Rhinolophus ferrumequinum: one gene and its partners. Each later gene encodes a partner of the first gene's protein in a complex. Links are inferred from orthologs where the notes say so. Each region holds a gene or a part of one and is shown on either strand. Other genes may lie near its edges.

Region 1 (7,722 bases):
TGAGATGGGCGGGGACGACGGGGAAAAGCACAGGTGGACGACCGAGGTCGGCGTCACCGGCGAGGACCCAATGGCCCGACGATCCGGAGGTCACTGAATCAGTTGGTAGCGCAGGGGGCGGGGCAGGCGACTGTCTGTCTGTCTGGACGCCGAGGGGCGGGAAGAATCGCGGGGGGTGGAGTTTTTGAGTCTGGAGTTGTGTGAGGTTGGTCAGAGGGGTATGTTCATCTGTCTGAGATTGCGGGAATAAGAGGTAGCGGGACGTCAACCCTCAGCCTCAGAGGAACTCTCAAGACTCACCCGTCGTCTGTCGGTCTGGCTGCCGCCCTGCCGGTACTGCCCCTTTAAATCCATCATGGCCTCCGCTCGAGGCAATTGTTTTGACGGCTCCAAGAGGCGGGGCCTGTGCCCCAGTCACGCGACCTAAGAGCCGCCGAAGGATTGGCTCTGACAACGCGCAGGGAGGGAAGGAGGTGTGTATCCAGCTTGCTCTCGGGTTCTCCTCCCGCCTGCTTTTACGTCAGATGGGAGCGACGGAACCAGGAGTCGTTAGCGTCATCCTGGGGCGTCAGGCTGCTTACCTAAAGGCAATGGTGGCGTGTTGAACACGGCGTAACCACTCACCCCCATGGCCCTGCGGGCACTGACCCGCTCTCTGGCCTCCCTGAGCCTGGCGCCCCCTGCCGCCGCTGCCCCCGGCCCAAGCCTGCTCCCGGGTGCCCAGGTAATCCACTTTACCCGGGAATGAGGTTGCTTCCGTGCGGGCCGCCGGAGAGGGGACAACTGCAGATAGGCGGGTATGCGAGTCTGGTCAGGAGTCATGCTGGCCCGTGACCTTGGATAGTCACTCTTAACCTCAGCTTTCCCTGTGAGTGTTGCTTTCACAGGGCTGCTGGATCCCGCAGATTAGATACTGGACGTGAAAGTGCTTTACAGACCACCGGTTGTACAGGTTTCAGTAATAATTGACATTTATTGGGTACCTATCATAAGGCAGGCATAAGTAATAGAGGTTTTAAACAACTGAACTCTTTTCAACCACTCTATAAGGTAGTTATTATCATTCCCTTCTGCATATGAGAAAACTGATAAGCAGTCCAAGGTCACACAACAACTATTGGAGCTAGGCAGCCTGGCTTCAAAGCTGGAGCTCTTAACCATTATAACCATTAGGGATGCTGAGATTAGAGAATGCAGGGCAAGATACCAAGAATAGGAGGAGCCTGAAGTGAACGTATCACAAGATCCCTAGTGGGTGATTGGTGAGTCACAGAAAAGAAATTGTAAGTCTTGCTTCTCTGGATCTCTCAGGCTGATAAAAAGTTTGGCAGAAGCACACTTAAAATTCAAAACCTACTCTGAAATTCTGGGAATACAGCAGGGAACAAGATAGAAATGATTCCTTCCCTCCCTTCATATCTGAAAAACTCCCAGAAACACAATGCAAATGGGCAAAAGGCTTTAGTGCTGATGGTGGTACTTGGATGTGTGGAAGTTACCAGCTTTGGAAAAGGAAGTTCTTTAAGGAACGAGAAGTTTCCAGGAGAATGGGAGGTTTGAGACAGATTTAGTAGATGGCACCAGGGGAGAACATCCCATTGAAGAAATACATCAGAGGTGAAAGGATCAAATGAGAAGAGGTAATCAACACATACATATCCGGATAAACATTCCACACTGGTATTTGTGCAAGCTGTGAAGGGTGGAGTTTTTGGACAGCTGGTCTGGAACGCTTCAGAGGAAGTGAGTAGGCTACAACCCAACTATGGTCTCTGCCCTCTCCCTTGGCTCTCTGATGCTTCTCCTCCAATTAGCTTTCACATGAAAGATTTCTGTTTATCTCTAGGTGACAAACAATGTCCTCCTTCAGCTGCCCTCTGCCTCGATATTGCTCCCCTGCCGCCCCATCCTTACCTCTGTGGCCCTTAGTGCCAAGTTTGTGTCCTGGAAGAGTCGTACCAAGTACACCATTACACCAGTGAAGATGAGGAAGTCTGGGGGCCGAGACCACACAGGTAGGAGCAAGGGCAAGAGGATTTAAGCAGTGAAAGGAAAAAACATGGTAGGACCCTAGGCCTGGATATTGATACAGGCAGAGGAATGTAATCAAAATGCTCCTTCTGCATGTAGTGTGTGTGTAAGTGCGAGAGAGTAGAATACAAAGCAACAGACAAGTGATCTGTTCTCCTAAAGACAATCTAGGAATTGGAGAAAACTGGACATACACAGTAAGTTTCATGACATTTTTTTTTTTTTAACTTTTATGTAAGTGTGTTTTTCCAGGACCCATCAGCTCTAAGTCAAATAGTTGTTTCAGTCTCATTGTGGAGGGCACAGCTCACAGTGGCCCATGTGGGGATCGAACTGGCAACCTTGTTAAAAGCACTGCACTCTAAGCAACTGAGCTAACTGGCCGCCCCAACGTTTTTCTTCCTATCCTTCAAAAATTTTTAATAGTTGAAATTGAGCACTATTTACACGGCCCTCAGTAAACTTACTGAATTCAGTAATTTGTAGAGAATTTATCTGGAAATCTAACGCTGTTTCAATAATCATACAATTATGTTTTTATCAAGGTCCATGTAAGTGTTTCCCCATCCCCGTTTACCCCATTGTGCTAGCAAATTTTATCATTTTCTGCTTGTGTCATAATGTTGGGAAACTGCTCTCTACCCAGGACAGGCCTGTTCGGCTGACCTGGATCATGTACCCTCACTGTCCTGACCACAGGCCGAATCCAGGTGCATGGTATTGGCGGGGGCCACAAGCAACGTTATCGCATGATTGACTTTCTTCGGTTCCGGCCTGAGCAGGAAACCAAGCCAGGACCCTTTGAGGAGAAGGTCATCGTTGTCCGCTATGATCCCTGTAGGCAAGTGTGGGGTGTGGGATGATGATGGCATGGCTGAATGATTGCTTTGTAGCTTTTCCAAAGATGTGGGGCTGCCTTAGATTGTCTGTTCACCTGTCTATCACCCTGAACAGGTCAGCAGACATAGCTCTGGTTGCTGGGGGCAGCCGGAAACGCTGGATCATTGCCACAGAAAACATGCAGGCTGGAGATATAATCCTGAACTCTGACCACATAGGCCGAATGGCAGGTGAGAGATGGCCGCCACATGTGTGTGGGCTGGGAGACTGCAGGTGTTCTGGTGCTGATAAAATTCTGTCTTTTAGTTGCTCCTCGGGAAGGGGATGCACATCCTCTTGGGGCCTTGCCCGTGGGGACCCTCATCAACAACGTGGAGAGTGAGCCAGGCCGTGGGGCCCAGTATATTCGTGCGGCAGGTAGGAGGAAAGGAGCTGCTTTGAGTCTTACAACTTGGAAGGCTAGAGGTTACCTGAGGTCACAGTTCTCTGAACCCATGGGCCCACATCTGGTCCAGTGGCAGAGAAAAAGGGAAAAAAAAACAAAAAACAAGGAAAATGAGAATGAAGAGGAGCTTGTGTTTTGACCTAAAACATTGCATGTATCCCGCTTCAATGTATCTGCTACTAAAGGGCAAAGCAAGGGTAGTATGTGGGGTGTGGCCTCCTGTAAATCTGCTCCCCACCTCCTCCTTTGTTGTGGATGGCAAAGCTGCAGCTTCTCCCTTCCCCAGGGACATGTGGTGTACTGCTACGGAAGGTGAATGGGACAGCCATCATCCAGCTGCCCTCCAAGAGGCAGATGCAGGTGTGTGTGTGGGGGGTGGAAGGTACAAGTGGGACGGAGGAATTTTCGGAATGTACCTTTCATGGCTGGCTGGGATAGCTCCCAGGTGTTTTGTATTAGGAACTGCCCCCAGGCTGGGTCTGTCCTTTCCTGCTGCGCCACAAGGCATGCCTCATCAGGCTGGCACCATAACAGAGTAGGAAACGGTGTCTTTCATTTTCAACTCTTGTAGGCCCTGACTTCGGCTTCGATTATGTTGTGCTTTTCTCCTGCCCTCTCCCTTCTCTCATTGACTGTAAGAACCCTCCCAAGAGCCTGCCCTCAATATTGTCAGGCTCTTCCCCCAACGGTGCATTCTCCTCCATCTGCTTTCTCTGTCAGGTGCTGGAAACGTGTGTAGCAACAGTCGGCCGCGTATCCAACGTTGAGCACAACAAACGGGTCATCGGCAAGGCTGGGCGCAACCGCTGGCTGGGCAAGAGGCCTTCCAGCGGGTTATGGCAACGCAAGGGGGGTTGGGCTGGCCGAAAGATTCGGCCCCTGCCCCCCATGAAGAGTTACGTGAAGCTGCCCTCAGCTGCTGCCCAACGCTGATAAAACTGACTAATAAAATGACCCCCCATTTTTATCTGTTACTGTTTTTTGGGGAGGGGAGACAGTACATACTGGATCCGGGGAAACAGGAGCAAACAAATGTGGGGTTAGGAAAAAAGGAAAGGGCAAATTGGGACCAAGACTAGGGCTGCAAAACCCCCCCCCCCATTTCCCGCTGCCCACCTTCTCTCGGTTCTTTTATAAGTAATGGAGGAGGGTGGAATACATGACCTCCAAACTCTTTTCCAGTTCTGACTTGGGAAACAGGGAAAGCACTTCCGGTGGCAGGAGGGAGGACGAAAAGGAAGAGGAAAGGGAGGCGCGGAGGAGGTGCCGCGCATCGCCGAGGTGGCACCCGCGGCTCCGCCCCGGTGCTCCCCCCAGGGCCCCTAGCTTTCCGCTGGGTCCGGCGGAAAAGAGCCGCGGCTCTGGACCGGCATCGGAGCCTCTAGAGCTGGGCGGGCGGCGCCGCGGGCTGGGAGCAGCCCCGCCCTCCCCTGCCCCTGCGACCGCCACCTGCGCGCTGGCTCTGTCAGTGGCCCGGCCCCCGGGCGCCTGGTCCCTGCGGGCCACGCCTCCTGCCCGTCTTGCCCCCTACCCGCCTGCCAGTGCTGCAGAGGCACGCCCCCTCCCGCCTCTTCTCCTGGACCCCCTTCCGGGGCCCAGGCGGGGCCCAAATCTCCGCAAGCTTCGCCGCCATCGTCTGCGCTCCGTCCCTAGCTCAGCGAAGGACAGGCCTCGCGCCAGGACCCCCATCGACTTCTAAGGTGGCCAGAGCCCCGCCGCGGCCCCCTGCTCCTACCCTGGGTTTTCCTCCACCCACTAGCCCACCAAGCCTCGCTCCACAGCCGACCTTGCGTCCCCGCATTCCACTGTGCCTCGGGATTCTCATTTATCCGGTTCAGCCACCCATCCCACCCTTGCCGCGTCCCCACTCCCGTACCTCCCACCCCGACTTCTTGGGTCCGCGACCCGGGTCCACCAGGCCTCGCGCCCCTCACCTATCGGGTCTCCTACCCACCCTGTCCCAGGCCTCGCGTCGCCCCCGCCGGCCTTGCTGCCCCAGTGCTTTCAGTCATCAGCCCCTGCAGCCCATCGGTCCCTCCCAGGCCATCGCGCCTTCTTGAGCCCTCACTCCACTACCACTTCTCTGGGTCTCTTTCCTCTGAGACTCACACTCCTCTTCCCCCAGCGCTTCATGCATTGGGGCTTGTACCCCTTCCCATACACACCCGGGTATCGCTCTTTTGCTCCCCTCAACACACCACCGGCTCTGGGCTGCTCATACCCCCTGCCCAGGGCTGCTGTCCCATCCCAGGGATTTGCTTGTTACTCCAAGGCTCCTCTGCCCTCACTGTCCCCTTCCCACTGCTCCAAACCAACCCACTTCAGGCTGCAGGGCCTTGGACCTTCCTTTTAGCCCCCAAATTTTGTGTTCTCTCAGAACAAACACCCCAGTGTTCCTCTGCTTAGGCCTGGCCCCACCCAGCCTGCAGCAGGCAACTCCTGGGCCCTGCTTTAACCCCACCCAGCCCAATAGCTGGTGCCACATTTGCTTCTCCACTCCTGGACGTCCTTGATTTTCTGACCTCCCTTCTCACTCTAGCTTGCCTGTTCTCTTTTCCCCATGTGTCCTAGGTGCCAGGATGGTGGGGGAACTCCGCTACAGGGAATTCAGAGTGCCCCTGGGGCCTGGCTTGCACGCCTATCCCGATGAGCTGGTCCGACAGCGGGTGGGCCACGATGGGCATCCTGAGTACCAGATCCGCTGGCTCATTCTCAGGCGCGGGGAGGACGGGGAAGGGGGCTCCAGCCAGGTGGACTGCAAGGCTGAACACATCCTGCTCTGGATGTCCAACGATGAGATCTATGCCAACTGCCACAAGATGCTGGGCGAGGATGGCCAGGTTATCAGGCCTTCCCAGGAGACTGCAGGGGAAGCTGGGACCCTGGACAAATCTGTGCTGGGGGAGATGGAAACTGATGTGAAGTCCCTGATTCAGAGGGCCCTTCGGCAGCTAGAGGAGTGTGTGGGTACCATCCCTCCGGCTCCTCTGCTTCACACTGTCCATGTGCTCAGCGCCTATGCCAGCATCGAGCCCCTCACTGGGGTCTTCAAAGACCCAAGGGTCCTGGACTTGCTTATGCATATGTTAAGTAGTCCCGATTATCAGATTCGATGGAGTGCAGGCCGGATGATACAAGCCCTGGCCTCCCATGATGCTGGTGAGCAGTGTGGGGAGGGCGGGGAGCTGGAAAGGGGCGGTGTGGGCTCAGGCCTTGCTGCAGCAGGAGCCTCTGATCTCATCAGTCCGTAAATGATTCTGCTGCCTTTTTAGCATTGGAAGAAAAGGAGGTGGGAAAGTCGGTGTGGTCATCTCTGCAGAAAGAGGAAAGACTCAGTCTCCAAAAACCTCATTGTAATTGACTTTCTATGCAAAGAAAAAGTTTAGACTTTACACTACTGCACTGTGTATATATATACACATATATATGTATATATATTCGTTCACTTATATGAAAAAGATAGTAAGGTTTGGCTTTTCAAGTAAATCATGTCATTCCTAGTGTGTCGTGACCAAATAATTGAACTGAGAGAGTAGGGGATCTAAGAGAGATGCCTGGGATTAGGGAGCAGTTACTGATTGGGGTGTGGGTTACAGGCACCCGGACCCAGATCCTTCTGTCACTGAGCCAGCAAGAGGCCATTGAGAAACACCTGGATTTTGACAGCCGCTGTGCTCTGCTGGCTCTGTTTGCACAGGCCACACTCTCTGAACATCCCATGTCTTTCGAGGGCATTCAGCTGCCACAGGTATTCTGTTGGGGGCATTGGGGGTGGGGCTATGAAGATCTGGGGACCAGATCTTTCCTCTTGTCCATAGAGGATGGTGTGGAGAGAGGGGCTAAACCTGGGACACAATGGACATTGGCCAAAGGTTGTGTCCTGCAGGTCCCAGGAAGGCTGCTCTTCTCCCTGGTAAAGCGCTATTTGCATGTCACCTCCCTCCTGGATCAGCTGAATGACAGTGCTGCAGAACTAGGAGCCCAGAACAGCTCTGCTGCTGAGGAGCTGAGTGGGGAGAGGGGTCGGCTGGAGCTGGAGTTCAGCATGGCCATGGGCACCCTGATCTCAGAGCTGGTGCAGGCCATGCGCTGGGACTGGGCCTCAAGCAGACAAGGGCCCTCGGCTCAGTCCTCCTGCTCCATCTTCCAGCCCCAGGCGGCAGATGCAGGCCCAGGGCTGCCACCCGCCCAGGCCCTGCCCTCCTTCAGGAGGTCAAGGCGGTTTCGCCCTCGCCCTGAGTTCGCAAGTGGCAACACCTATGCCTTGTATGTCCGGGATACGCTGCAGCCTGGCATGCGAGTGCGCATGCTCGATGACTTCGAGGAGATCAGTGCCGGGGACGAGGGCGAGTTCCGGCAGAGCAACAACGGCGTGCCCCCAGTGCAGGTGAGCCAGTGCGTGGTGG
Region 2 (7,511 bases), on another chromosome or scaffold:
CTTGATAAATGTGTGTCTAGCTCCCTCCATGTGCAGACATTCTCCACGTGCTGACAAAAGGCTGTTTTGGAACCTGGGATGCCAGATGACAAACCAGTGAACACATTAAAGTAATGCCCCTCAGGGGATATTACCTAACTTGAGCCCTGGCATCAGGGCACAGGATAAAGAGGGTGTCATTGCTGCTTCCTGCTGTATTTGTTGAGGACCTACTATGTGCTATCATTTAACCCTTTGGTATCTGGTTCACAGGTGTGGATAAATTATATCCTGTTTATCGTAGACAGGGACCTGATTTCCGGACGTTCAAGATGGAGGACAAATCTGGTGACTGTGCCAAGGTTACAAGTGTCATCTGGGAGAGAAGTCTTTCGGGATTTCTCACCAATCTTATTCCCCACCTCAAATCTGCCAGGCAACTGGGCAAATAATGGAGGCTTAAGAGCGTCGGGGTTGACCAATATCACCCCGACAAATTAAAAAAAAAAAGAGTGTGGCGGTTGGAATCTAAGGAACCTGAGTGAGTCAGAGCTCAGCTCTGCCACTTCCTAGCTGTATGGCCTTCTTTGGCTTCAGTTTTTCTCATCTGGAAAATGGGAATAACACTTGCATAGGAGAGGTTCTGAGGATTAAAAGAGAAAACACACAGGGCCAGGGACAAAGTGGGTGCTCAATAAAACAGAATAATAATCAGTATTATCACTTTCCCACCTTGTGGGCATATGTGATGGAAAACTGAGATGGATATGCATATACTGATATGAAAGACTTCAAGACATGCTATTAAGTGCAAAAAAAGCAAGTTTTATAGTAATAGATCTAGCATCATTCATTCATTCATCAAATATTTTGAGCACCTGTTAGGACTGTTCTAGATACTGAGAATTCAGTAGTGAACAAACCAGGTAACTATCTCTGCCTTTATGGGACTAATGTTCTAATAGGGTGAGACAATAAATAAATAAGAAAATACCAGGCAGTGGTACGCGCTGTGATGAAAACAATTTAGGATGATGTGAAAAACCCCCCATGGGGTAAATTCTAAAATTACACATACGCTAAAGTAAGCATTTTTTTCCCCCTGGAAAAGTACAGAGATATTTAACTGCGATCACTTTGGGGGAGAGGCTGGAGGCTTGGGGCTGGGGCTGGGTTGCTTTTCATTTTACACCTCTCTGTAACTCCAGCATTTTCTTAGCATGTGTGTGTGTGTCACTTTTAATATTACTATTGTTATTTTTAACGGCAACCAAGTGAAACTGGGTAGAGAGATTTGGGCCATATTTTGTTTTCTCCCCCTATTTTCTGATTTTTCATTTCTTTTAAATAAATATAAAAGTGGAAGCTATAATTATCCTTTTGTGTGTGTGGGGGGGGAGGGGGGTGGCTGGAGAAGGATCTTGCCTGCCAGAGACCTGGGCAAGTTAAAACACCCACAGTGAATTGCTCAGAGGTTGGCAATTTCTGTAAGAATGTTGAACATATGAGGTTTTCATTTCTAGGATAACCCTCCCTTCCTTCCAACCAAAGACAGAAACAGCCCAAATGTCTCAACTTCGAGGTCATTATTTTGACTTCTCAGATTTGGGATTTTCAGCTTTGGGCCTCTACGAAGCACATTCTAAGAGAAGGTGACTTGGGGCATCAGACTTAAGGAAGGGATAAGAAGCGGGAAAGAGGCGCTGCCCTGCCCCCACCCCTTCCCCCCCTCCCCGGCCCGCCCCACTCTACCCTCTCAGAGCCAACCCGCGCTTTGGAACGCGTCTCCTCGTTGCCATGGAGACCGCTGGGAGGCTGGGCGAGAAACGGAGCAAAAGGGAGGAGCTGGGTGGCGCGAGGCCCGGCTTGGGCAGAGGCCTCGGATGGGGCTGGCGAGGAGGAGCAGAAAATCCAGCAAAGCAAAGCCAACCGAGTGAGCCAACAATTGTGCAAAGGCCTCGCTAAGACCCTGACCTCCCTCCATTCCCCAAGCGTCTTCCTTCCTCTTTCCCTTCCCTTCCTTTAATCGCCCCCTTTCCTCTTTTTCTAAACATCTGCCTGGTTCCTTCAGGAGTTAAATAAAACCACATATCTTGAGTTAAATAAAATTACACGTATTCATTTTTGTTGTATCTCCTCGCTCGCGGGCGGTGAAAGAATTCACAAGTCAGATAGAAATATAGATTTATTAAAGTAAGAGGAGGGTCGCGTCAGCTGGAAACTACTGCAAACTACTGCATTGAGTCCTTGTTTGGTCTCAAGTTTTGTATTTACTAACCAGGCTGTAAATTGTTTCGGTCTGTAATTGGGGGTGGGGGAAGGTGCTGTAAAGTTGGTTATGGCAACCTTTCCATACGTTATGTAGATTTAAGTTGGAGCCAGAAGAGTGGATCCCATACAGATGAAAAACTTCCCAAGTCACAGGGCCTGCACTGGGCCGAAGTAAATAGAAACAAAAGAGAATCGTTAAGAGGCAAAGAAAAGAAAGCTTTCAAAACTTCTCAAGCTAAATTGCCCTTATTAATTTGAATTACACCGGAGGTCCAAATCTCAAAAATAGAAGATTTAGTGTCCCCTGTCTTAACAATTTTTATACTTTGTATTAAAGTCATTATTTTACAGGCTTCTTTACTTTTTTTTTTTGACTGTTGGAATTTTTCTTTTGACAGCTGTATTTCATTATAATTGGTTTCCTTTGTAATCCAATGGATGCAAATCTATGCTTTGAAACACTTTATGCTGGAAAGGGACCATGGCATGGTTAAGGATTCCTAAGCTATAGGGCCCTGGAGAGGGTTGGGGAGGGGGGAGACAGAATCACTTCTCTAAAAAACGTGCCATTTGAGCAGAGGGAGATTGCCAGAGAAGGTGGGAGCAGAGCATTCTGGGTGGAGGGAACAGCAAGTGCAAAGGCCCTGAGGTTGGGGGCAAACATTGTTGGAGGAACAGTGAAAAAGCAGCAGGTGTGGTTGGAGTGGAATAGAGAGAGGGACGTGGGGAGAACTGATAGGGCTTCGTGGGCTGAGGTGAGGACTTAGATTTTACTCCTAGGTAAGGATTTTAGAAAGAGTACAGATAGATCTGACTTACGTTTTTAAAAGATCCCTCCAGCTGCCAGTTGGGGATGGATTGCAGGCTGCAAAGGGAAAGCAGGCCGCCCAGTGAAGAGGTGTTTTTTGTGGATCCAGGCAAGCGATAAAGATCAGCTGTGTCTTCCGAGCCTGCCTGGATGGTTACTCCAGTGCCTAAGTTCAAATATCAGCCCCTCTACTTACAGCTGTGCAACTTCAGACCAGACTCAGTGTCCCCATTTGTAAGAAGATGATAGTGAAGGCATGCACCTTACCCTATAGCTTTTGAGCATTCATAACAACAGGCTATTCAGGGTACCTGGTTCCAAGGAAACCTTTTGTGCAAGTTAACAATTATTATTACTAATGCCATTGTTATTATTGTGCATATTGGTGCTGACATGGCTGCCTCAGTAGTACCTGGGGAGCTTTGCAAATCCTGGCCCCTGAATCCCAGGAAACCACTATGTCTGTGGCCGAGTTTGAGGCCCTTTGGTTTAATTTCATTTGTTTTAATTAACATTTTGGATTGCCAAAAAGCCATGCAATCCAAAAGGATATACAGTGAAAAGGACACATCTCTGCCACATGTTGGAGTCCCCAGTCCCCCTCCTCAGAAACAGCTACGGTTGGCAGAGCTTGTACATGTGCTGAGTACATGTATACACACACACACACACACACACACACACACACACACACACACACCAGGTCAGGCTGTTTCAGATTCAAATCCAGATTCAATCATTTCCTTGCTGTGTGACTTTTATTTTCTCAGCTACAAAATGGGAATGATTGTATTACCTGTCTCATAATGTTATGGTGAAGATTTCATGAGTTGATTCATAGAAAGCACTTACAGTGGTGCCTACGCACATAGGAAGTGCTCTATAAAAGTTAACTATCCTTTTTTCATAGCTGCTCAGTGTTTCACTGTAAGAATAGACCATAAAATTAAGTCAGTCCCTGCCGAACAATTAGGTTCATTCATTCACTTCACTCAAAAATATTTGTTGAGCACCTACTGTGTGCCAAGCCCCACTGGTACAGCTGGTGAATTAAGATCCTGGTACCACTTTTCCCACCCCTATTTATGGGTATATAGGGAGGAATTGCTGGTACCAGAAGTCACATAAATTTAGAATGGTACTATACGGTGTCAGTGGCTTTCCAAAGGACGGCCCCATTAGCACACCCACCTCTGGGCGTGGCTGGAACCCGCACATTTAGGATGGTAGGTTTGGGAATTGCTGCCTTATTCGGAGAAGGTGCTGACGTGGGCCTCGGCGCGCTTTCAGCTTGGAGGCGGTGGCCCCAGCCAGGCCCGGGGCGCGGCCACACCCCCGTGAGGGAGGGGAGTGAGGGCGACCCAAAAGGAGTGGACAGCCCCGCTGTCAGTCTTCTCGAGTCTGGGAGTGTAAAATGAGAAGGGGAAAGGTGGGCCTCACCCTGGGGGAGGACGAGAAGGAACTTCCCTCCCTGGAGCTCCACAGCAGCGCGCGCGCGGGCAGGGAGGCGGGAGGCGCGTCAAGGTCAGCCTGGACGGGGGTGGCAGCCTGCCGAGGGGCGGGAGACCCTCCGGAGGGGCTGGGCTGCTCCTCCTAGCGCCTCGGCCATATTGAATAGCCGCGGCTGAGCTGTCTTTGTCTGCGAAGTCCTCTCCCAAGTTCCAGGCGCGTCCCTCGTGCCTGGGGCAGGAAGAGCCCGGGTCAGCCCGTGCGCCCCAACTTGGAGCTGGGACACCACTTTTGGAGCTTGCTGTGGGCTTTGAGCCTCAGGACTGACCTCACCCCGGCTCACGTAAGCATCCTGGCAATTGATTTCCACCAGTCCTTAAGAGGGGACTCTGCCTTGATCCAGAGAGGACTTGTTGCAAGCAGAGAAATTGGGAGGTGTTGGCTCATCTTCGGCTGGGGAGGTGAGACTCTCCGGGCAGTGCTGCTGGGACCTCCCACCTCCACTTCGACCCCCAAGACTAGGGGCTTCGTGTAGTTTGGGCTTGTTGCTCCCACCCCAGATTTCACCCTGGAGATCTTAAAGACCCTCGAGAAAAGCCACGTGGGGGGCTGGTTCCCCTGGGGCTTCCTCCCGTCGCCCGACTGCCTGATCCTCTGGAGCGTCCCCGACGTCTGCAAAGATGTGGATTTGGACGTCCTCGTGGAAGCCTTGAAGCCTGTGGGAACCTTTAAGAAGATCGGCAAGGTGTTCCGCAGGGAGGAGGACTCCACGGTGGGGATGCTGCAGATTGGGGAGGACGTAGACTATTTGCTCATCCCCCGGGAGGTCAGGCTGGCTGGGGGCGTCTGGAGGGTCATCTCCAAGCCTGCCACCAAGGAGGCGGAATTTCGGGAGCGGCTGACCCAATTTTTGGAGGAAGAAGGCCGCACCCTGGAGGACGTGGCCCGCATCATTGAGAAGAGCACCCCTCACCCGCCCCAGCCCCCCAAAAAACCCAAGGAGCCCCGAGTGAGGAGGAGAGTCCAGCAGATGGTGACCCCTCCTCCCCGGCTGGTTGTGGGCACTTATGACAGCAGCAACGCCAGCGATAGCGAGTTCAGCGACTTCGAGACCTCCAGAGAGAAGAGTAACAAGGGCCACAAAGGCTCAGGGCGTGGCAGGAAGGTACGCAAAATGCCCGTAAGTTACCTGGGCAGCAAATTCCTGGGGAGCGACCTGGAGAGCGAGGATGACGAGGAACTGGTGGAGGCCTTTCTTCGCCGTGGGGAGAAGAAACCCAGTGCGCCGCCGGCCCGCCGCCGCGTGAACCTGCCGGTCCCCATGTTTGAGGACAACCCGGGGCCCCAGCCATCTAAGGCGGACAGGTGGCGAGAGTATGTTAGCCAGGTTTCCTGGGGGAAGCTGAAGCAGAGGGTGAAGGGTTGGACCCCGAGGTCCAGCCCAGGAGTAGGCGAGGCCCAGCAGGCCTCTACCAGGGTGGAGAGAGATGGGGTGCCAGGAAGTGCCAGCTGGGGGGATAATATGGGGAATGCAGGAGATGGGCCAGAGCCTGAGGCCCCTCCAAGACGATGGAGGCCCAAGATCAACTGGGCCTCATTTAGGAGGCACAGGACGGTGGAAGCAGCATCTGCAGTTCAGGGGACAGAGGCTGCAGGTAATCAGAGAGAAGAGGCTGCAGATGACCAGAGGGCAGAGGCCATAGCTGACCCGGGGGCAGAGGCTGCACATAATGAGAGGGCAGAGGCCCCGGCTGTCCAGGAAGCTGAAGCCTTAGCTGCCTCGGGGGCCACAGGAGCCACCCCAGGAGTTAGGGCCCGAAAACAGGTGAAGACAGTGAGGTTCCAGACCCCTGGGCGCTTCTCGTGGTTTCGCAAGCGCCGGAGAGCCTTTTGGCACACTCCCCGGGTGCCAACCCTGCCCAAGAGAGTCCCCAGGGCAGCCGAAGCCAGGAGCCTCAGGGTGCTGAGGGCCGAGGCCAGAGCAGAAGCAGAGCAGGGCGAACAAGAGGACCTGCTGTGAGGTGCTGGCAGGGAAGCCAGAGCACCCGCCGCCACCCACTAACTTATTGGCCACTCAGGACGCATCCCTCCCTCTCCTGCCCTTGGACGGAGATGATCTTTCTGCCTCCACACCTGAAATGGGAGGTCGAGTGAAGGCCAGGCAGTGCCCCTCACCTGTCTACCTAGCACCCCTTTTCATGTTAAAATTTTATCTGTCATGCATTGATTTTTAAAAGTCTTTCTAGTAACCCAAGGAATGTAAAGAAGGAAATCTGTACAATGGGGTTGTGTTAATTTCCTCAAAAGCAACTCCAGGTGCTCAGCTTGAAAAAGGGAGCGAGGGCAGGGAGAAATGCCTCTCTTCCCCTTTCTCATCTCCCTTTCTCCTGCACACTTCACATTGACTGCCTCCTTGAATTTACAAAGAGGGCACAAGCCAACATGCAAATAAAAATGTTTACAAACTTATTTCTTGGCTTTGGACTTGGCAGCGGAAGAATGCTCCAGGGTGATTCTGTCACGTCCTTGTGTCCCCTCCATGACCTGTGTTTATGTCAGTTTGCTTGCCATCCCCACACCCTTGGGTTCTGCCAGGTCCGAGGGTCCAGGGCCTGCAGTTTATACACTTCATACGTTTTACAAGGGACAAAAGAATCATCTGGAAAATGTGTCTAAATGCAGAGTCTGGGACCCTTCATGCCAGAGCTGTGAGTAGCACTGGCTGTGCCCCACCATCAGGGGCAGCTTGGCCACTGGACACAGTGAAAAATCATTGCAATAGGAACAGGCCAAAAGGGGGATTGTGGTGTAGTAATGTGGAGTGGGTTGTGACTGGTTCTTACAATCGGGGAGAAATCGGGTTGCTAAGGCCCTGTGGGAGCTGGAGAACATCTCCGCATTGTTTGTGTCCCCACCCCACCCCCACCAGTGACAAAACAGATAGCAAACGACCACACCCCAACCTCACTGGAGGCCGGAGAAAAGGGAATTGTGGAGGAGGGGC
Region 3 (8,027 bases), on another chromosome or scaffold:
AGGTGGCCCCAGCAGGAAGAAGGAGAATCCTAAGCCTGGTAGGAGGATTAAAGATCCCAGGGAAAGGCCCCACTCGGGCAGGGAGGACCTGACAAGGGAAGGAAGCCACAGGACAGAGCGGCATTCGGGCAGGCTTGAGGGAAACATCCATTCCCAGCACTGGCCGACCCCGCAGCCCTCTCCCCAGACTACCATCTGAGGGGCTGCCACACTGGGTCTAATGAAGGTGCTGGCAGAGACTTGGAACTGTGAGAGGCAAGTCCCCCTCCAGAGCCGCAGAAGCCTCCTTGGGGATTTAGCATCAACGGAGACTGGGGCTACGGCATGGACGTGGCCATGGGCTCTTGTGCTGCAGGGAACAGTAGCTCACTCAGCTCAGCTCAGGCAAGGGAAGGTGTGAGCCTATAGGATGCCCAGATGGGATTCTCTCCCCTCCACATCTCCTTCCTGGGGAGGTGCTTACCTGCCCACCCCATGAGCTGGGTTAGTAGGAGGGAGTCTTTGATGAGTCACTCTGTTAGCAGAAATACACACTGCAGTGGTGCAGTCAGTATCAGAAAACGCTCTTGAATTTCCATCTGAGGGACCTAAACATCCCCAACCTTCCGCGTCACACCTACCTGAGAGCCAGGACCTGGGGCAGGACAGCAGGATCACACGACTGAGGGAGAAGGAGGAGAGTGAAAAAAGGAGGAAGGAAGGCTCAGGAAGCGGGGCTCCCAATGGCCAATCAAGGCAGGCAGAATGGACTGATAGGAGACCCAACGGGAAAAGGTTCCTTGCACCCTGCCGTGCACTCCGCGTGTACACAAAGTGTGGACACAGATTCACCCAAGAGCACACTTTTTTCGCCAGTAGGCTCTGCCTTTCCATGCTTCCAACGTTAAGGACTGAGTCAAGGGGTTATCTAAAGACACACAGGGCACATCAAAGGAGCCAAAGACTTCAAGAACCCAGATTGCAGCACAACCAGGCTTCAGGAAGGGCTACATGATAGGTTTGAGGGAGTCCCAGGCCCTCAGCAAATTAAAATCCTCAGGTCTTCGTTCTTCTGTCTCATCTCTGCAGTTGTCAACTTTCAGATACTGCCAACTCACACCATCTCTCCTTTACATGCCACCCAAGTTCCTGAGACACCCAAGATCTGATCAGCTCTGAACATCTGTCTCAGTGGGACCCTAAGCCATGATCTCTGGCCGGTCTAAGAATCACCTGACCTTGAGCTAGGTATCCATCAGCTAAGGCATAGAATGGCAGGGGAGGGGCTTCTGTGTAGGCACTATAAGTACAGCAGTTGCCTTTAGGTGTAGCAGGGCAGGCACCCTGATTGACATATCAGGTCCAGCTGGCATGAGGGCCAGTTCTGTCTCCAGAGTGGCTGTCAGGAGCTAGCAGCACCTTTGCGTCACCAAGCATTGTAGCTTTCCACCAGATATGCATCCAATTCCAGCTCTTTTATTTATTTTTTATTTTTTAAAATAGTGAGTCCAGTTTGTTTTTGTCTTCTTTTGCTTTTAATTTTATTGGGGAATATTGGGGAACAGCGTGTTTCTCCAGGGCCCACCAGCTCCAAGTCGTTGTCCTTCAATCTAGTTGTGGAGGGCGCAGCCCACCAGCCCATGTGGGAATCGAACCAGCAACTCTGTTGTTCAGAGCTCGCGCTCTAACCAGTTGAGCCATCCGGCTGCCCCCTCCAGCTATATCTCAAACCCCAGATCTCTGAGGTCAAGTGAGGCTGAGTGCCCAAAGATTCCGCAGTCCCATGCTCCTGGGGCCAGGTCCTCCCCTCCACCACCCACCACCGCCATATCAGAGAAGCCGAGGACGCATGCCAAGTCATATGCACTGGGTTGTTTATTGTCACACTGCTTATGGGACAGGGGTAAGAGGGGGAGGGGAGCCCTCAGACAGACAAGTGGAAGAAGGGGGGAAATGGGAAACATCTATTTTCCAAATTCTGTTCTTCCTCCCAGCATGTGCTGGTAGGGGCTCGGCCACCAGCAGGACTCCCTTAGATGCAAGCACAGTGCTGCGTGAGAAGGTTGGGCACCGTCTCATACTTGAAAGAGTAGCCTCCATCCGAGGTGGTGCGGACACGGAGGGACCTCATGGTTCCCGGGAGAGCAGCACAGCAGGGCTGGGCCCCTGGCACCAGAGAAAGGAGCTGGACAGGGGTAGGGGGAACCCCAGGGAGCGGGAGAGGCCCGTCTGGTTGGGTGGGTGGCCCACAGCCACCGTGACAATAGTGGAAGATGAAACTGGGAGGGTGCACGATCCACTGTTCCCAGCCCAGCTCCTGGAAGGAGATGTTGAGGGCCGCCCGGTGGCAGTGGGCATGGGCAGCGGGCTCCTCTGGAGGCCTCTGCAGCAGGCGCAGCGCGGCGGGAGACCAAGGCCCGGGCAGCGGGGGAGCCGAGCGTCGGGCTCGTTCCCTTCTGCTAGGCGGCTTAGCCCGTGTGTGGGCCACCAGGAAGGGTGTGGTCTCAGGCTTGGCTGAGCAGGAACAGAGAGGACAGCGCAGCAGTAGTACCAGGACAGGTTGGGTCAGCAGAGGGAGGGCAGAGGCAGCCAGGTTTAGCACAGCCCAGCTAGGAGGTGCCTGGCCCAATGACACAGGCACCGCTATGGGACCCCCAGATGACAGAGCCAGAAGGTCTAGCAGGGGCCCAGAGCTATTGGAGGCTGCTGTGCCCTGCCTGTCCAGTCCCATGTGAAACCATAGCTGGGCGGAAGTCACCTGGCGACTGCGTGTGTGATGGGATGGCCGGAACATGTATGTGAAGAGGCCCTCCTCAGCCTCCTGGGCCAGCTCTCCCGCCGCTGGCTGGTCCTCACAGCTGGCACCTGCAGGAGACAGAGGGAAGGGAGAGGGCAGCCGTGACTGGAGAGACGCAGCTGCCATTCACGAGCCTGCCAAAACTCCACTGAGTGCTCTGCCAGACTCAGGACTCCCCCCAGTCTTGGGAGAACTGACAGAGGCTCCTCTTTTGTTATTTCATCACAAAAGGACTTAAAAAGTACAAGACATTGCCAACTTCTCTCGAGTGGTTTTACCAATTAATATACCCATCAGCAATGTGTAAGAAGCCCTGACACTCTATCTTCACCAACACTTGGAATCGTTAGTTATACTTAAATTTTTTGTTCATCTTAAAGTGTGAAAGGGCACCTTGAATGGCACGTAGGCAGGCATTTGTAGGATTACTCTTCATATCTTTTTACATGTCAGTAATAGTATATTACAAAATTTTTAAATAACTCCACTTTAATAAGATAGGTTAACACCAAAAAGGAGGAGGAGAAAAGACATAGCTGAGAATAAAGGACAGTGCTTTCTAAGAAAGTGCAGTTGGCATCCTTACCCTGACAGGTATACAAACTACACTAAACAATCATGGATCAGCACCAGGTGAAGGTCTGGCAATTGGGGCTATACTGCTACATGGATTATCTCATGGATAACTTCACAACGAGCGACCCATTTTGTAGATAAGGAAACTGAGGGTTAGAAAGGTGAAGTGACATTGAACTACGAAGTGTCCATGCCGGGATTCCACCTGATCCCAAAGCCACACTTACTTACTGTGCAGCAGGGGGACTGAAGCACAGGGAGGCAGGGGTCCTCTCTAAGAGAAAGGTGGGCCAGATTACAAGAAAGTCCAGCCAGAGGAGGCCTTTTCTCATTGAGTCAGTGGAACATGGGGAGGTGAGAAAGGAACTCAAGAGAAGGTAGACTAGTTTCCCAGAAAAGTTTCCCAACAAATCTCTCTCCTGCATCTCTGTTATTTCTCAAGTCTCAGCTACTTGGGGCTAAAGAAAGGACCAGAACAGGGAGCAGGGGCAGAAATAGGAGGAAAGTGGCAGGAAGAGACCACGCCCAGATATCGCTGACTCCAGAGACCCTTAGCCTCCCAGGAGAATATCTCCCAGCTACCTCATATGAGCCATGCACTCTAAGTGCAGCATCTCCCGAAATCCTGAGCGATAGACATTATTGCCCATTTTATAGATGAGGAAACAGCGGCTCAGGTAGGTTCAGTCATTGGCCCATTGTTGCAAAGCCAGTTGAATAGCAGGTCTGGGATTCAAACCCAGATCTGCCTGCCTTCCAAGCCCATGCTGTCCCACACTGCTTCTCAAAGTCACCAGTTCCCCATCCTCATTACCTGTGGCCGGGAAAAGGATGGCCTGGGAGACATCCTCCTCCTCGGGCTCAGAGCCCCTGCGCATGGAGCCCCCCACAGCATGTCTTCGGGGCAAACGCCTGACTCCAAGATCTCTACTTTCACGAGTCACTGCTGGGGACCCCAAGGCATCCAGGAACAGGGCCCTCACTTTTGCCAAGACAAGTTCCCGGTCCACCTCCGGCCCATGGCAGCTATGCCCCCGCTGTGGGGCCACCAGCAAGAGGAGTAGCAGTGGCAGCCGGGGCAACATAGCTCACCTGCCCCTGACAATGGCGAACCCACAGCCTGCCCTGTGCCCCTCTGTCAGGGTCTGCCCGGGACCTCCCCCACTCTCCCTTCCCCATCCCACCACCTGCCTTCTTCTACCCTTCTCATCCCAGTCTTCCCCAGGCCTTCCCACACCCTGCAGTCCAAGTTGCCCCTGCCGTGGCATTGAGGCCTCCTATCTCTGACGCAGATGTCTGTGACCCTGAGCCTTATCTCCCACTCCCGCCAGGAATGTGGGGGAGGGGGCTGGTGAGGGTTTTTCACCCCAAGTGACCTCTCACATACAACCCCTTCCCCCTACACACACACACACACACACACACACACACACACACAGTCACATCCCAGCACCCAGCACAGAAGTGACATCAGGTGGAACAGGAGGCTGGGAGCTGTGGCCTGCCAGCTCTTAAAAGTGTTATTTGCTAAGGTGACAAAACACACCAGCCCCTCAGACCTTCTGGGGCCCCTTTCAGACAAACAGCTGCTGGGCCAGTCATGGGGGGAAGGGCTGAGGCTGGAGCTAGAACTGGGGTTAGTGCGGGGGGCAGGTGGTCCCGCCTGCTCTAAACTTAGCCTGGAGGAGCCAGTCTGGGCTCTTGTCTTCCAGCTGTGTCATCAGAGAATATTTTTGGGATTGGCAGCTGCAGGCGCCTCTGCCACTCAGGCCCTAGCCTGGCGGGAGGTTGGGGACCTGGCGGCTGGAGGTGGTAGGGAGGAGGGGAAAGAGGCCCAGGCTGTGGGAGGGGGCTGGGAAGAGAGGCTTTCAGGAGCAGGAAGCCAGGCCGCGGGCAGAGGAGGCCGCGGGGCCCCTCGCTGTAAAGGCAAACAGGAAGGACTGCCCCCTGAGCTCTGGGCTCCGGGCCCAGGAATCGCCGCCGCCGCCGCAGAGCTGCCCCTCCGGGTCGACGGTAAGGAGGCGACCCGGGAGCGGGCAGCCAGAGGGAGAGCTCCCCGGATCCCCAGGCCGGGTCCCCAGACGCGCCCCGCCTCCCGGGCTCCAGGCCTCCGCGCGCCCGCCGCCCGCCCTTCCCCGGCGCAGCTGCGGGTCGTTTGCGGCCGCCGCGATGAAGGCGGGATCGGGCGATCAGGGGAGCCCCCCGTGCTTCCTGCGCTTCCCGCGGCCCGTGCGGGTGGTAAGTGGCGCGGAAGCTGAGCTCAAGTGCGTCGTCCTGGGGGAACCACCGCCCATTGTCGTGTGGGAGAAGGGCGGGCAGCAGCTGGCGGCCTCGGAGCGCCTCAGCTTCCCGGCCGACGGCGCCGAGCACTGCCTGCTGCTGAGCGTCGCGCTGCCCACCGACGCGGGGGTCTACGTGTGCCGCGCCCGCAACGCGGCGGGGGAGGCCTACGCTGCGGCCGCCGTCACCGTGCTGGAGCCGCCGGCCCCCGAGCCGGAGCCCCAGCCCGCCGAGCGCCCGCTGCCGCCGCCCGGGACTGGGGAGGGCGCCCCGGTGTTCCTCTCGGGGCCCCGGTCGCAGTGGGTGTTGCGGGGAGCGGAGGTGATGCTGACGTGCCAGGTGGGGGGCCTCCCCGTGCCCACGCTGTACTGGGAGAAGGATGGGATGGCGCTGGACGAAGTGTGGGACAGCAGCCACTTCGCGCTGGAGCCGGGCCGCGCCGAGGACGGCAGGGGCGCGAGCCTGGCTCTACGCATCCTGGCGGCGCGGCTGCCCGACTCTGGCGTCTACGTGTGCCACGCCCGCAATGCCCACGGCCACGCGCAGGCGGGCGCGCTGCTCCAGGTGCAGCAGCCTCCCGAGAGCCCGCCCCCGGACCCCGATGAGGCCCCCAAGCCTGTGGTGGAGCCGGTCAAGTGCGCGCCCAAGACCTTTTGGGTGAACGAGGGCAAGCACGCCAAGTTCCGCTGCTACGTGATGGGCAAGCCGGAGCCTGAGATCGAATGGCACTGGGAGGGCCGCCCTCTGCTCCCCGACCGCCGCCGTCTGATGTACCGCGACCGCGACGGCGGCTTCGTGCTTAAGGTGCTCTACTGCCAGGCCAAGGACCGCGGGCTCTACGTGTGCGCCGCGCGCAACTCGGCGGGCCAGACGCTCAGCGCTGTGCAGCTGCACGTCAAAGGTACGGCGGCACCTCCTCCCAAGCCCTCCTAACTCCAGCCCCCTTCGGTGCCCAGTGCTGCCCTAAAGACGTTTTGGGGAGGGGAAGCGGAGTACCAAAATCCCATTTCCTGCCTGCCTCCCGCCCCCAGGGATTCGGATTTAGTAAGTCTCCACGGTACCCAGGAGCTTCTTAGCAAACTCCCCAAGTGATTCTGAGGCTCATGGTGGAAACCTCCCTTTGATTAAAGGCTTTAAGAAGTGATTGATGGACAAACCGAGAAGAGCCTAGAACTCTTCTAGTCCAGTGGTTTTCAACCTTTGTTATTTTACTTCCCCTCCCCCAATAGAAATCCCATCTGTGCCCCCAATATATAAGAAAGAGAAAAGGATCATTTTATGGCAGTAAATTTCTAAGTCCAGATTTATAACGTGTACTTAGAAAGCCAATCAATGAGAACAAGGAGGCTGTTTTATTGAATATACACATTTTAAGTGAAGGCTGCGTTCATCACCTGGTCTGTGGGAAGGCCTGGCTGCAAGTAGTCACATTGAGAAACTCTTGATTCATAGTAAAGGTAAATTTGAGGGATAAAAACTGCTCTGTGAATTTTGACTATTCTTCCATTAGGCTGCTCTCCCCAGCTTTGCAAGAAGAAGGTGAAGGAGAAGAAATTTATATTTCAAAGTTGAGTCACCTCAACAATATCTAATAAATGCTCATAAACAGAAAACAGGGGAGAGCACCCCAAACTCATCCTGGAGGATAAAGCTCTCCATAATAGGAATTCATCACAACCTGCAGGATTATATCTTTCGTAGTTATTGCCCAACGTTTTCCCGCAGAGGAAAAAAAGTTGGCAGCTCTCCTGAGCCCTGCCTGGCAAGCATTCAAGCATGTGGCACCTGTGCCATGGTGGTGGCCTCATGGGTATGGTGACATGCATACACTGGCCAGGCAGGCTGAACTCTTAACTCCATCAAGAGGGGAAAAAAGCCCAGTGGCAAGGCAGACCTTCCCGGAGCTGCACAACAAACGCACTTCTCAGCAGCCCAGGTGAACCTACTGGTCGTTTCCAGCATCATGCTTTTTTTTTTTTTTTTTTTTTTTTTTTCAAAAAATAAATGCTTAAAGTACTTTAAAGAGAAAATGCAACTCAGAACCTTGCAGAATTTGTGCAGTGCCTCTGAGGGACCACAGGGAGCATTTTGAAAATCACTGATGTGGTCCAAGGCCTTTCTACCCCTTTCCCCATTTTACAGGTATGGAAACTGAGGCCCAAGATCACTAAAATGGCCTTGCTGGAGGTGATGTGGCTAGTGAGTGTCAGGGTCAGATGAGAATTTAGACCATCTGATGTTCCTTTCTGGTGGTTTTTGTTTTTCTATGATTCCACAATGTCTTCGTGCGCCAGGAGAAAAGCAAACGGCCTGAGCTAATGTGGGTGTAGGCAGTTGATGCTAGGAGGAGTCTTCCTAGTCTGGCCCTCTCCAGAGCCTTCTCTGGTCTCTCCCC

Evidence for each region. Proteins that work in one complex are often made in the same cells at the same time.
Region 2: CUL7 (region 1) and CCDC8 share a complex: the UniProt entries of both Homo sapiens proteins name them as parts of the 3M complex. The link is inferred for Rhinolophus ferrumequinum from reciprocal best matches to the Homo sapiens genes CUL7 and CCDC8.
Region 3: CUL7 (region 1) and OBSL1 share a complex: the UniProt entries of both Homo sapiens proteins name them as parts of the 3M complex. The link is inferred for Rhinolophus ferrumequinum from reciprocal best matches to the Homo sapiens genes CUL7 and OBSL1.

What each region holds. Positions count from the first base shown.
Region 1 is NC_046286.1:12,502,928-12,510,649, reverse strand, and holds the start of CUL7 (cullin-7), read left to right. Parts: upstream 1-4,676; 5' UTR 4,677-5,016; intron 5,017-5,887; 5' UTR 5,888-5,895; coding exon 5,896-6,475; intron 6,476-6,912; coding exon 6,913-7,064; intron 7,065-7,202; coding exon 7,203-7,703; intron 7,704-7,722. Other genes in the region: MRPL2 (39S ribosomal protein L2, mitochondrial), read left to right, coding at 629-724, 1,847-2,015, 2,731-2,872, 2,986-3,101, 3,178-3,288, 3,603-3,676, 4,037-4,249. UniProt on the Homo sapiens protein: Core component of the 3M and Cul7-RING(FBXW8) complexes, which mediate the ubiquitination and subsequent proteasomal degradation of target proteins. Core component of the 3M complex, a complex required to regulate microtubule dynamics and genome integrity.
Region 2 is NC_046298.1:42,671,287-42,678,797, reverse strand, and holds CCDC8 (coiled-coil domain-containing protein 8), read left to right. Parts: upstream 1-4,469; 5' UTR 4,470-5,285; coding exon 5,286-6,527; 3' UTR 6,528-6,976; downstream 6,977-7,511. UniProt on the Homo sapiens protein: Core component of the 3M complex, a complex required to regulate microtubule dynamics and genome integrity. It is unclear how the 3M complex regulates microtubules, it could act by controlling the level of a microtubule stabilizer.
Region 3 is NC_046291.1:15,953,890-15,961,916, forward strand, and holds the start of OBSL1 (obscurin-like protein 1), read left to right. Parts: upstream 1-4,985; 5' UTR 4,986-5,521; coding exon 5,522-6,533; intron 6,534-8,027. Other genes in the region: INHA (inhibin alpha chain), read right to left, coding at 2,012-2,844, 4,167-4,437. UniProt on the Homo sapiens protein: Core component of the 3M complex, a complex required to regulate microtubule dynamics and genome integrity. It is unclear how the 3M complex regulates microtubules, it could act by controlling the level of a microtubule stabilizer.